Neodiprion lecontei: one gene and its partner. The protein of the gene in region 2 purifies or fractionates together with the protein of the main gene of each other region. This does not show direct contact. Links are inferred from orthologs where the notes say so. Each region holds a gene or a part of one and is shown on either strand. Other genes may lie near its edges.

Evidence for each region.
Region 1: the proteins of cyclin-dependent kinase 7 (region 2) and CDK-activating kinase assembly factor MAT1 purify together in Drosophila melanogaster (affinity purification with western blotting; 3 studies listed by BioGRID, with this or other methods). This does not show direct contact. The link is inferred for Neodiprion lecontei from reciprocal best matches to the Drosophila melanogaster genes Cdk7 and Mat1.

Annotation. Positions count from the first base shown.
Region 1 is NC_060264.1:1,837,431-1,841,849, forward strand, and holds CDK-activating kinase assembly factor MAT1, read left to right. Parts: upstream 1-1,936; 5' UTR 1,937-2,346; coding exon 2,347-2,470; intron 2,471-2,566; coding exon 2,567-3,408; 3' UTR 3,409-3,732; downstream 3,733-4,419. Other genes in the region: TP53-regulated inhibitor of apoptosis 1-like, read right to left, coding at 420-512, 866-1,096.
Region 2 is NC_060265.1:21,195,540-21,200,972, forward strand, and holds cyclin-dependent kinase 7, read left to right. Parts: upstream 1-2,191; 5' UTR 2,192-2,332; coding exon 2,333-2,386; intron 2,387-2,470; coding exon 2,471-2,530; intron 2,531-2,606; coding exon 2,607-2,715; intron 2,716-2,796; coding exon 2,797-3,242; intron 3,243-3,386; coding exon 3,387-3,734; 3' UTR 3,735-4,443; coding exon of another isoform or gene 4,444-4,482; 3' UTR 4,483-4,571; coding exon of another isoform or gene 4,572-4,841; 3' UTR 4,842-4,882; downstream 4,883-5,433. Other genes in the region: T-complex protein 1 subunit gamma, read right to left, coding at 1-947, 1,439-1,500, 1,591-1,627; actin-related protein 2/3 complex subunit 1A-B, read right to left, coding at 4,444-4,482, 4,572-4,841.

The DNA of each region.
Region 1 (4,419 bases), on a different chromosome or scaffold from region 2:
ATATCGTTCAGTTTTATCAACATAATTCTATTAAAGTGTCGGGAGTTCGAGGTATTTAAATAAATTTAGATCTTCGTATTTCACTACCTTATCCGAACGAACATTAGAAAATTTGGCTCCTAATTCCGGCTGCTAGCTTTAGCCTTATAAACATATTGCATAATGAAATCATTCATACCTAGAGATATAAAACAATTTTACCTGAAAGTAAATTCATATAAATTACTTCAATCTTTGTTAATAGCTTTTATTCTACTGAATTAAGGATCCGGCGATGCATGCTTCTGTACCGCCGCCTCACTGTTGGTAACTTTATGAGGTACCGATGGGATCGTAACTTGTGCCAGCGGCATGCACGGCGAGCAAAGCATAGCTGACATCCAAGACGATATTGGCATCCACGGTCTATCGACTAATTGTCAGCTGCGAGGCGGGGCTGTTTTCTCCTGATCTGTACCTAGGTAGTTAGCTTCCACATCTTTAATCTCTATGTGCTGATCCTTCATAGCTTTCTGAAATTTGAAAGATGGAAAATCATTGGTTGCGAGAAAAAAGTACAGAGCTGAATTTGAAACTGAGGATTGATTAATCTTGAGGTTGACATAGTTTATCGAAGAGATTTCAAGTTTTCGTTTCTTTGCGTCCAACTCACCGCCACGCACTCTTTATAGACTTTGAGCAAGCTAGAGCACATCGAGTCGTTTCTATCGCCCTTGAGAAATTTTTCAGAGAACCAATAATTGAAACAAGCGTCGTATTTCTGTTTTAATTCACTGCATGCTTCCATGCTGACGTTCGGCTCAGTCTGGTCACGGTGACAAAAACCTATTTTGAAATAATAATAACTAAATAGTAATAAAATTACCTTTACGCACTGCTGGTAGACTTTGAACAAAGGAGCACACATGGAGTCGTTTGTTTCCCCTTTCAGGAATTTCTCAGCGAACCAGAAATGGAAACACGAGTCGTATTGCTTCTTGAACTCATTGCACGTCTCGCCAATACTGTTCATGAGGAGATCTGTGCTACTCGGACTATTTCTGAAAGCAGACCCAACCGACTCCAACACGGTACTTCCAAAGCCTTTGGCTTGCATTTTGCATTTGCTGATAGAGTATTGAATCGAATCCTTTAGAGTGAAATTACGTTTTTTACAATGTAAGTCAAAGGCTATCCTTGATAGATATTCGATATTTGGCTACAACAAATTTAGCGTTAGGTTATGCCAAATGCAAGCCACTAATTGAATATAGATGGTAATATTCATATACTCGAAAACTTGACAGATTTAATTTATTGACAAGTGCCGCAAACAAAACGAAAACAGCGTCTTTATGTCTTAAAATGACTGACGAGAATCAACATATTGAAAAATTTTAAGGTTAAAGTTTTCGAGACAGAATTTAACCTTAAATATTTTACATCATGATAATTGTAACAACTGAGACAACAGTGTTCTTTCATATAACGTTGAAGGGCCTGAATTTGAGGTTACGTTGTTCACTTTTCTTTGCGAACAGCCGAATGATTGCACGTAGGCATATTTTTTTATCAATACGGCGCAAAGACTTACCTGCGTTAATTGTTAATACGGAGCTAGATTGTCTCCTGGAACAATTTTATGTACTCTCTGATTGAATTAAAAACGCTCGTACGATGTGTCGTAAATACATAAAAAGCACCGTGGTTTTGATCGTAGAATCTGAACTGTCAAACGTCGAAGACAAGCTGAACGGACAGAGATTTTCACGAGGAGCGAATGAAGCAACTGAGTTAGTCGCGTCTGTAGCGTGCGTTAAAATATATTCAAGAATTCAGCCCATCGATTCTGCGTGCTCGACTTATCACGTTCGGAGTGATTGTGCCAGATTGTGCTGATTGTAGGGTCGAAATTTTCGGGTGCCTCGACTTTCGAGAGCCCGGCTCGTGTTTTTCATGTTTCCGAATGCTTCCGAATGTTTCCGATTAGTTTCAAAAACCAATTTCGTGTCAGATGGCGCCACGAAATTGTGTCTGCACAAAAAACGCAAAGGCTTCTCTTTGCACGTCGCGTGCGTTTTCCGGTTTTTGGTTTTGCGTCAAAAGATCCGGCGCTTTTGGGCGCTTTGGAGTATTGTTGACAAATAATGTACTTATATCTACCTACGTAATAATACCGTTCCTCAACGAGTCATTATATTTGCATACAGGGAGAAGTTTTCAGGAAAAATAAAGTCTGACATAAAATATAATCTTATCTTATGAAATGTGCGGTTAATAAAAATAGCTGCTGGGGTTAAGTTCACGTTGTTGTTTATGCTTACCCTCATTTATTCCTTGCTGGTTGAACAATAATCACTTGTCACAATGGACGACCAAATTTGTCCCCGTTGTAAAACGACCAAGTACAGAAATCCGTCGTTGAAGTTGATGGTAAACGTGTGTGGACACGCGTTATGCGAAAGTTGCGTCGATCTCTTGTTTTTGAAGGGTAATTATCGATGCTCACAGTTCCATTACATCGTTTTCCATTCTAACGCTTATTTACAAACATTCAAATACATGTTGTTATTATTTTCTCTTGTAGGCTCTGGCGCTTGTCCCGAATGTCAAATACCGTTGCGAAGAACAAATTTCAGGATCCAATTGTTCGAGGACTCGATGGTAGAAAAAGAGGTAGACATCCGCAAGAGAATACTCCGCGACTTCAACAAAAAAGAGGAGGACTTTACAACGCTGCGAGAGTACAACGATTACCTCGAGGAAATTGAAACGATAATATACAACCTGGCCAACAATATCGACGTAATAGAGACGAACAAGAGGATAGAGCAGTACAAGAAGGCGAACAAGGAACAAATTTTGAAAAGCAAGTCCAAGCTGGGCAGGGAGGAATACGAGCTTGAGGAATTGTTAGAGCTGGAAAAGCAGCAGGAGGAGGAGCGGAAATTGGAGTTGATAAAGCAGGAGGTTGAAATGAAGAAGAAAAAAATACGTGAGAAAGAGGCTCTCATCGACGAGCTAATGTTCTCAGAAGCGGACGCCGCGAACATTGTCGAGACGTTCGCGTCTACGATCCAGGCGACCAGAGAGGAAGCTAAGGTCGTGCCAGTCGCAAAAGTAACCCAATTCAGTACCGGAATAAAATTCGGCAGACAGGGTCAGCAGACATTCATGCCTGTACCGAAAGTCGAGGAAGGTCCTACCTACTGCTACAAGCGTATCGAGCAGGAAGTCGAAGGTCCGCATCCTCCTGGCTGGCAGGAAATGGAATCTGGCGGATATATCGCGCACGTCAGAAGCGAGAAGCCGGCCGAAAAAGCCGGAGGCTTTAAGTCGAACATTGCGTGTTTGAGAGCGCTTCAGGAAGCGATGGCTGGGCTGTACCACAATCCCTCGCAAAGACCTCCCGAGTCGATGGCAATCTGACCCTACGACTGGTCATAAATTGCCGACGGTCTCCCGTCAGTTTGTTAAAAACTCCTGACGATATCGACTGACTGCGATGAAAACTAGCTTATTATACCCAAATGGTGAACAGACACTCCCAGGCTCATGTAGTATCGTGTAAATAATATATTCGTGGGCTGCTTTCACAACGAATTATACATTTTGTACGGCTGTACCGCTTTCATTATATTGTAAGAAATTGTTGACAATTTAATGCTTAAAAAGATGAGGATGATAATAATAATAGTAATTATCGTTGGGTGGAAGAGTTTGTAAAAACAAAATAGAGGTATGCGATCGGTAGTTTGACGTTTATTTTCTTTGCACAATGAAAATATTAAAATAAACAGAGGCGGTAAATTAGCGAATAAGCGACGTTCCGACAAGTCAAGTGATTCGGATTCAAATCTGCCCTAGCCTCCCGGCATCGAAGTTGGTACGACGATTCGTTAACAGATGGCGCCAGCGCTGAGTGCCAATAAATTCGTGCTCGGCGGTTAAATCCGAAAGGCGCGGGGTATGTATAAGGGAAGAAATGTTACACACCGTTTATGCACGAGGTCGAGGAGTGTCGGCGGCGAAAAACACTTCGGTAGATTAATTTATTTGCATTTCATGAGTGCAGCGCACGCCTCGGACGTATTTATCGTCCGGAATCAACATTTTTACCGAATTCCAGCCGAGGTTCGCCGATCTTTGGATACAGCTTCGCGTAAATAAGGTAAGACAATTTTCAAATTTTGCGTGCAGCGGCTCCTTATTTCCCGACAAAAACTGAAGTTAGTAACGATTCATACCTCGTAATTTTAGAACTGTTTGAAATACAGTAAACCGTAATAAAACGTGACATGTACTGATATTTGCAATCATAGTTCCTTCGAAATCGTTTGTTAAAATAAGAAAACACTGATTTTTTTCTCAACGTTTCGTTACGATAACGTTGCTAACTTCAACCTCGTCTATTTTCTTATTTTCACAAGGGCAATCGAT
Region 2 (5,433 bases):
CCAGTTCCTACGTCTTCTTCACGAAGTTCTTCCGTGCGATTGACAACAGTTGCTCCACAAGCCCTGGCAACTCTATTATTATCAGATTTTCGCATCCTGCGAATAGCAGTTATTCCAGCTTTCAACAAATAGTGTTGAGCCAAGTCTGACACGCCTTTTTCAGTAAATACGACATCTGGTTTCAAAACAATGATGTCATCGCAAATTTTCTTTACATGTTCCTCTTCCAGTTCTAATATCCTTGTGAAGTCTGTGTCCTTTAGAATCTCAACATTTGTTTGGGATTCACCCTTTTTGTACTCCAACGGACAATCCAACAATACAATTCTTGGATTCTTAATGTAGCGCTTCATTTTTGGGTGAGTTACATCTTTGTTAACCATAACACCCTTCAATACTGTACTATCTTCAATGCTGCCACCTGAAATCTTCTCTACTTTGGCATACCGTTTGATGTCTATCTCTCGTCTGCCATTTTCTTCAAGCATAATAGTGTGGACTGCATCCAAGGCAATGTCACAAGCTAGTTCTGCCCAGCGACCGATGAATTTAGTCCCAACACATGATTTGACTACTTGTGCTAGCTTTGTTCTATCATTCCGATCCAATTCAGTGCTGACTTCATCATTCAGAATGGTTATCATATCTTCTAAAGCCTGCCTGTATGCTCTGATTATTACTGTGGGATGCATGCCTTGTTCTAAAAACGGTTCAGCAGTAGCTAAGATCTCTCCAGCTAATACAATTACCGATGTTGTCCCATCTCCGACTTCTTCATCCTGGGTTCTCGCAATTTCAATCATCGATTTACCAGCTGGATGTTGAACTGTGATTTCCCGAAGAATGGCATTTCCATCATTGGTCATTACGATCCCACCCATTGGATCCATCAGCATTTTCAGCATAGCCTGAGGCCCAAGGCATGTTCTGATAACATCAGCGATAGCCTTTGGTAATAGAAAAATGATTGAATTTATGTCTTAAATGATCTCAGTTCTAAAGCGGACTGTATATTTGCAGAGGTTGAATCTGAAAAGATATTTGCATGTTTCTCAAGCTACACGTTTCAGAATTAACCTCTCAAATGTACTTATGAAATGATCAGTGTGAAAAGTTTACAATATTACTGTTGTTCTTAAATAATTGTAATGCCTGGGATTAGCGACTAATTTTGCAATCGTCGTGATCCTGAATTCGAAGCATCACTTGCTACATATCCATTTGATTTGTGTAAAATTTACTAGTATAACTATATTAAACAGTATAATCAAGAAAACGGTCATAATTATTGACCGTTAGATCAGGTTAGGTAGCGGGGAATTATTCGATTTCTATTTCATGCTGAAAATTGATGACGAAAATGCACGTGGGTGTGCCGACGAAGCAGGACCGTATAAGGAGAATTTACTGGTCATGTGTGTGGCGGGTGTGTTTGTACCTTGCCGGCTTGGATGTTTTCACGTTGAACTTTCTTGCCCGCATCTCGCTTTGTGTTTTGGCCTGCAATTATAAGAGACGGCATTATGCGTATGATAGCGTCGGGAAATTTTCCTAACAGTATAATAACAATTTCATTGTTTTTACACTCACTCAAAACCACAATAGGCGCTGACCCTGGACCAAACATTTTTCACTGCACACGCTGTTCGAACTTCCCAATAAATATTAAAGGCGGGCGTTCAGCTCAAGAATCTCGCGTGAGACGAACTGTTCTAGAAGAAACGTGGGTATGGTTTCAGTCATCGGATAAATCCTATGTAAGAAGAGCTAACGACCTCCCATCTGGTGTTCAAGCACGAAAGACTGGTACAAAAAAGTGAAATATCATCTGTCGTGTGTCTAACTATCCAGTCGATGAGGATCATCCGACAAGTCATATTTAAGTACGGATGCGTATTTATTCGAGATTTCAAATCTTTGACAATACGAGCACACATGATGACGCACATGATGCATACCAAAGAGGTTACAGGAATGCCCAAAATCGACTAACCGATAATCTTGCAATATGATTCGTAAAGTTTTCACTACAGTCATGTACTCCCCCCGCCCCGCCGCGCCTGGCGCAATACTCATAGAACACTAGTGCCCTCTTAATTTTGGAAACAATTTGTATACATGAAGTTCTTACTCCTTGTATAGTCTGCATGATGTATGCGGAGATTTAAAAATTCCAAAGGCATCTTTCGAATCGAACTATCGTATACTGAAAAAGTGAGAGGGAGCACATTTGACAGCTCATCAAATCGTTTGGCATAAAATGAATACTAGTCATTTAACGTGATTCATTATAAATGATTTGGTTTCATCACAATACTAATTCAATTAAACGATGACGGAAAAATTGAGGAGATATGAGAAAATTGATTTCTTGGGAGAAGGACAGGTTAGTTGGTATCATATGACACCATTTATCACGTTTTAGTTGCATTAGTAGTGATATTTTATAAATTTTTTTTTTTAATTTCAGTTTGCAACTGTGTATAAAGCTCGAGATACCGAGACCGACAGCATAGTAGCTGTGAAAAAGGTGATTTAGCAAAAAAATTACTTCTATCGGACAGGTTAACATATACAATAAATAATCATCCATCATTATTCTCCAGATCAAAGTCGGAAGCCGAGCAGAAGCCAAGGACGGAATTAATCGTACCGCCTTGCGAGAAATAAAACTCTTGCAAGAGCTTAAACACGATAATATCATTGGATTATTAGGCAAGTACTTGTTTGTTCAAATAATGTTTTTATACATCATTGAATGGCACCTATCTAATTTTTATTATAACAAATTTTCAGATGTCTTTGGTCATAAATCCAATGTGTCGTTGGTGTTTGATTTCATGGATACAGACTTGGAAGTTATAATAAAAGATAGTAACATTGTCTTAACATCAGCAAATGTGAAATCTTATATGATCCAAACCCTCCAAGGACTTGAGTATCTCCACTTCAATTGGATACTTCATAGAGACCTAAAACCCAACAATCTGCTTGTGAATAGTAGCGGCGTATTAAAAATAGGAGATTTTGGTCTCGCCAAGTTCTTTGGATCACCAAACAGAATATACACTCATCAAGTTGTTACTAGGTGGTACAGAGCACCAGAACTGCTGTATGGTGCTAGATTATATGGCACTGGCGTTGACATGTGGGCAATTGGTTGTATACTGGCTGAGTTACTGTTACGCCTCCCATTCCTCCCTGGAGAGTCAGATTTGGATCAACTAACGAGAATATTCCAGGTCCATATCATTATTCAAGTTCAGTCGAAAAATAGGGCGTTTTGATCTAAAGATACCAGTGATTCAATAAATCACATACTGTGGTTAAAAATACAACACAAATAAGTTTATGGTACAATCTTTCTTGTTGAAATATTTTTGCAGACGCTGGGTACACCAAGCGATGAAACATGGCCTGGAATGACGGATTTGCCAGATTTTATACAGTTCAAGCCATTTCCTGGTACTCCACTGAAGCATATCTTCACTGCGGCTGGAGACGATCTGTTAGATTTAATCACAAGTCTGTTAAACGTTAATCCATTGGAACGCTGTACTTGTGATCAAGCTCTACAGATGCCTTATTTTAGTAATAAACCACCACCAACGATTGGATCAAAATTGCCTCTTCCCATGACTATCAGGAAAGAACCAGAGGAAAAACCTAGTCTCAAGAGAAAATTGTTAGAATCCATGGATGGAGGATCACTAGCGAAGAGACTGCAATTCTAGCTATAAAAGATATTAGGTCTATGTGATACATTACATACTAAGGAACTCTTCTAGTTCGCCTAGTTTTGTGTTGCAAATATTCAAGGAAGTTCAAGAACTTTCACATATCCTTAAATTATAATTCATAGCTACTTCTCACATTCTTCAAAGCTATGAAACTTAGGAACAATATTGCTTTGCGTTTGTTGTAGATATTACAATAATTTACTGAACCAAAAATTCACGATTTTAGTTTGGTATTATGATGTTTGTGGTACTAGTAGAAAGTATTTGTATGTGTATGTTTAGTTTTCAATAGAGTCATTATTTCGTTAGTAACTTAAATCACTATTAAAAAATATGTTACCAGGCTGGTGACATGAAATTTAAAAAAATGTTTACACAAGTTTCCGTATGCATAATCTTCAGACAGCATTGCCACCTACATTTGGATACTTGTCATGTGGATGTACTGTGCATTTAGGGTAAACAACGTAAAACCAGCAGTATATGTGCTCTATATGAAACAACAATTACTGATAACTCGGCATAAACGTTTGTTTAAAACAACTATTAGTAATTACTGGGTGACTGTATGTAAGAAATTCAATTTGTGTTGAAGACTCAAACGATAGTCAACATCACGCTATTCCAAAGTCTAAATTAAAGAACATTTTATTTCAAATTTATACACCAAATTGATGTTATCAGCTCACTGAATTCCAATAATTCAAACAATTTTGAGACCGGCAATCGAATTCTCCAGTGTCTAAAACAGAATCGAAAAAAACTTGACCAACTGATACGGTATTTAAATATTTCAGATTAAAGGATCATAAATTAAAAGTGATACAATACCTTCAGATCCCAAATGACCAGTTGTCCGTCTAACCCACTTGTACTAAATTTGTCTTCTCGTAGTTTTCGTACACAAGTAATTGCATTCTGGTGAATACTATCCAGGGCAGTGTCTGTTGTTTCTATGCGTGCTTGGCGATCAAGCGATTGAAATTTTCGCATAGCCGAAAGTCCACCGGCTTCTTTTCTTTGAGTATTATCCAGTTTTGATGCAAAATATAATTGGCCATTATCATCCAAGGCGTAGAGCATAGGAGAACAACTATGTCCCTGAAAAATAAATATCAATTTTTTACTGTCTGCTGAAGGAAGTGAATTTTCTGACAGTTCTCTTAACCCTTTCAAAACGGTTATCCATCCCAATGGCAAGAGATTTCAAAAATTCATATGAACAGTTTCACTAATCCGATTTTTTTTTAAGGAATGTTTTTCGTCAACAGTTCCAATATCTATCTGAAAGAAAATATATTAAAGTCTGTCCTTCGTTTAAGTATATTTTCTCATCGGAAAAGTACAGCTAATTTTCGAATCTGTTTCTAATTTCATAGGCTATTGAAAATTGACTTTCTTTCTGAAGAACAAAAAATGAATGTTTCTAGCATAGTCATAAATGTCATGAATAAAAATATGTATAAGCTCAGCACCTATTAATGCAAAGTTGTAAACTTGAAAAACATTACATGTCCACTGTAATGGAAATCTGTATAACTTTCAATATGGATTTAGGAAAATTCTGTATGGATTATTATTGAAGAACTTAGTTGAGAGATACAAAATCGAAATACGCTGAAAAAAAAAATTTCTATTGCTGGATTTAATTTAGTTCTAAAAGAGTTAATTACAAAGTAATGAGTAAGCGTTT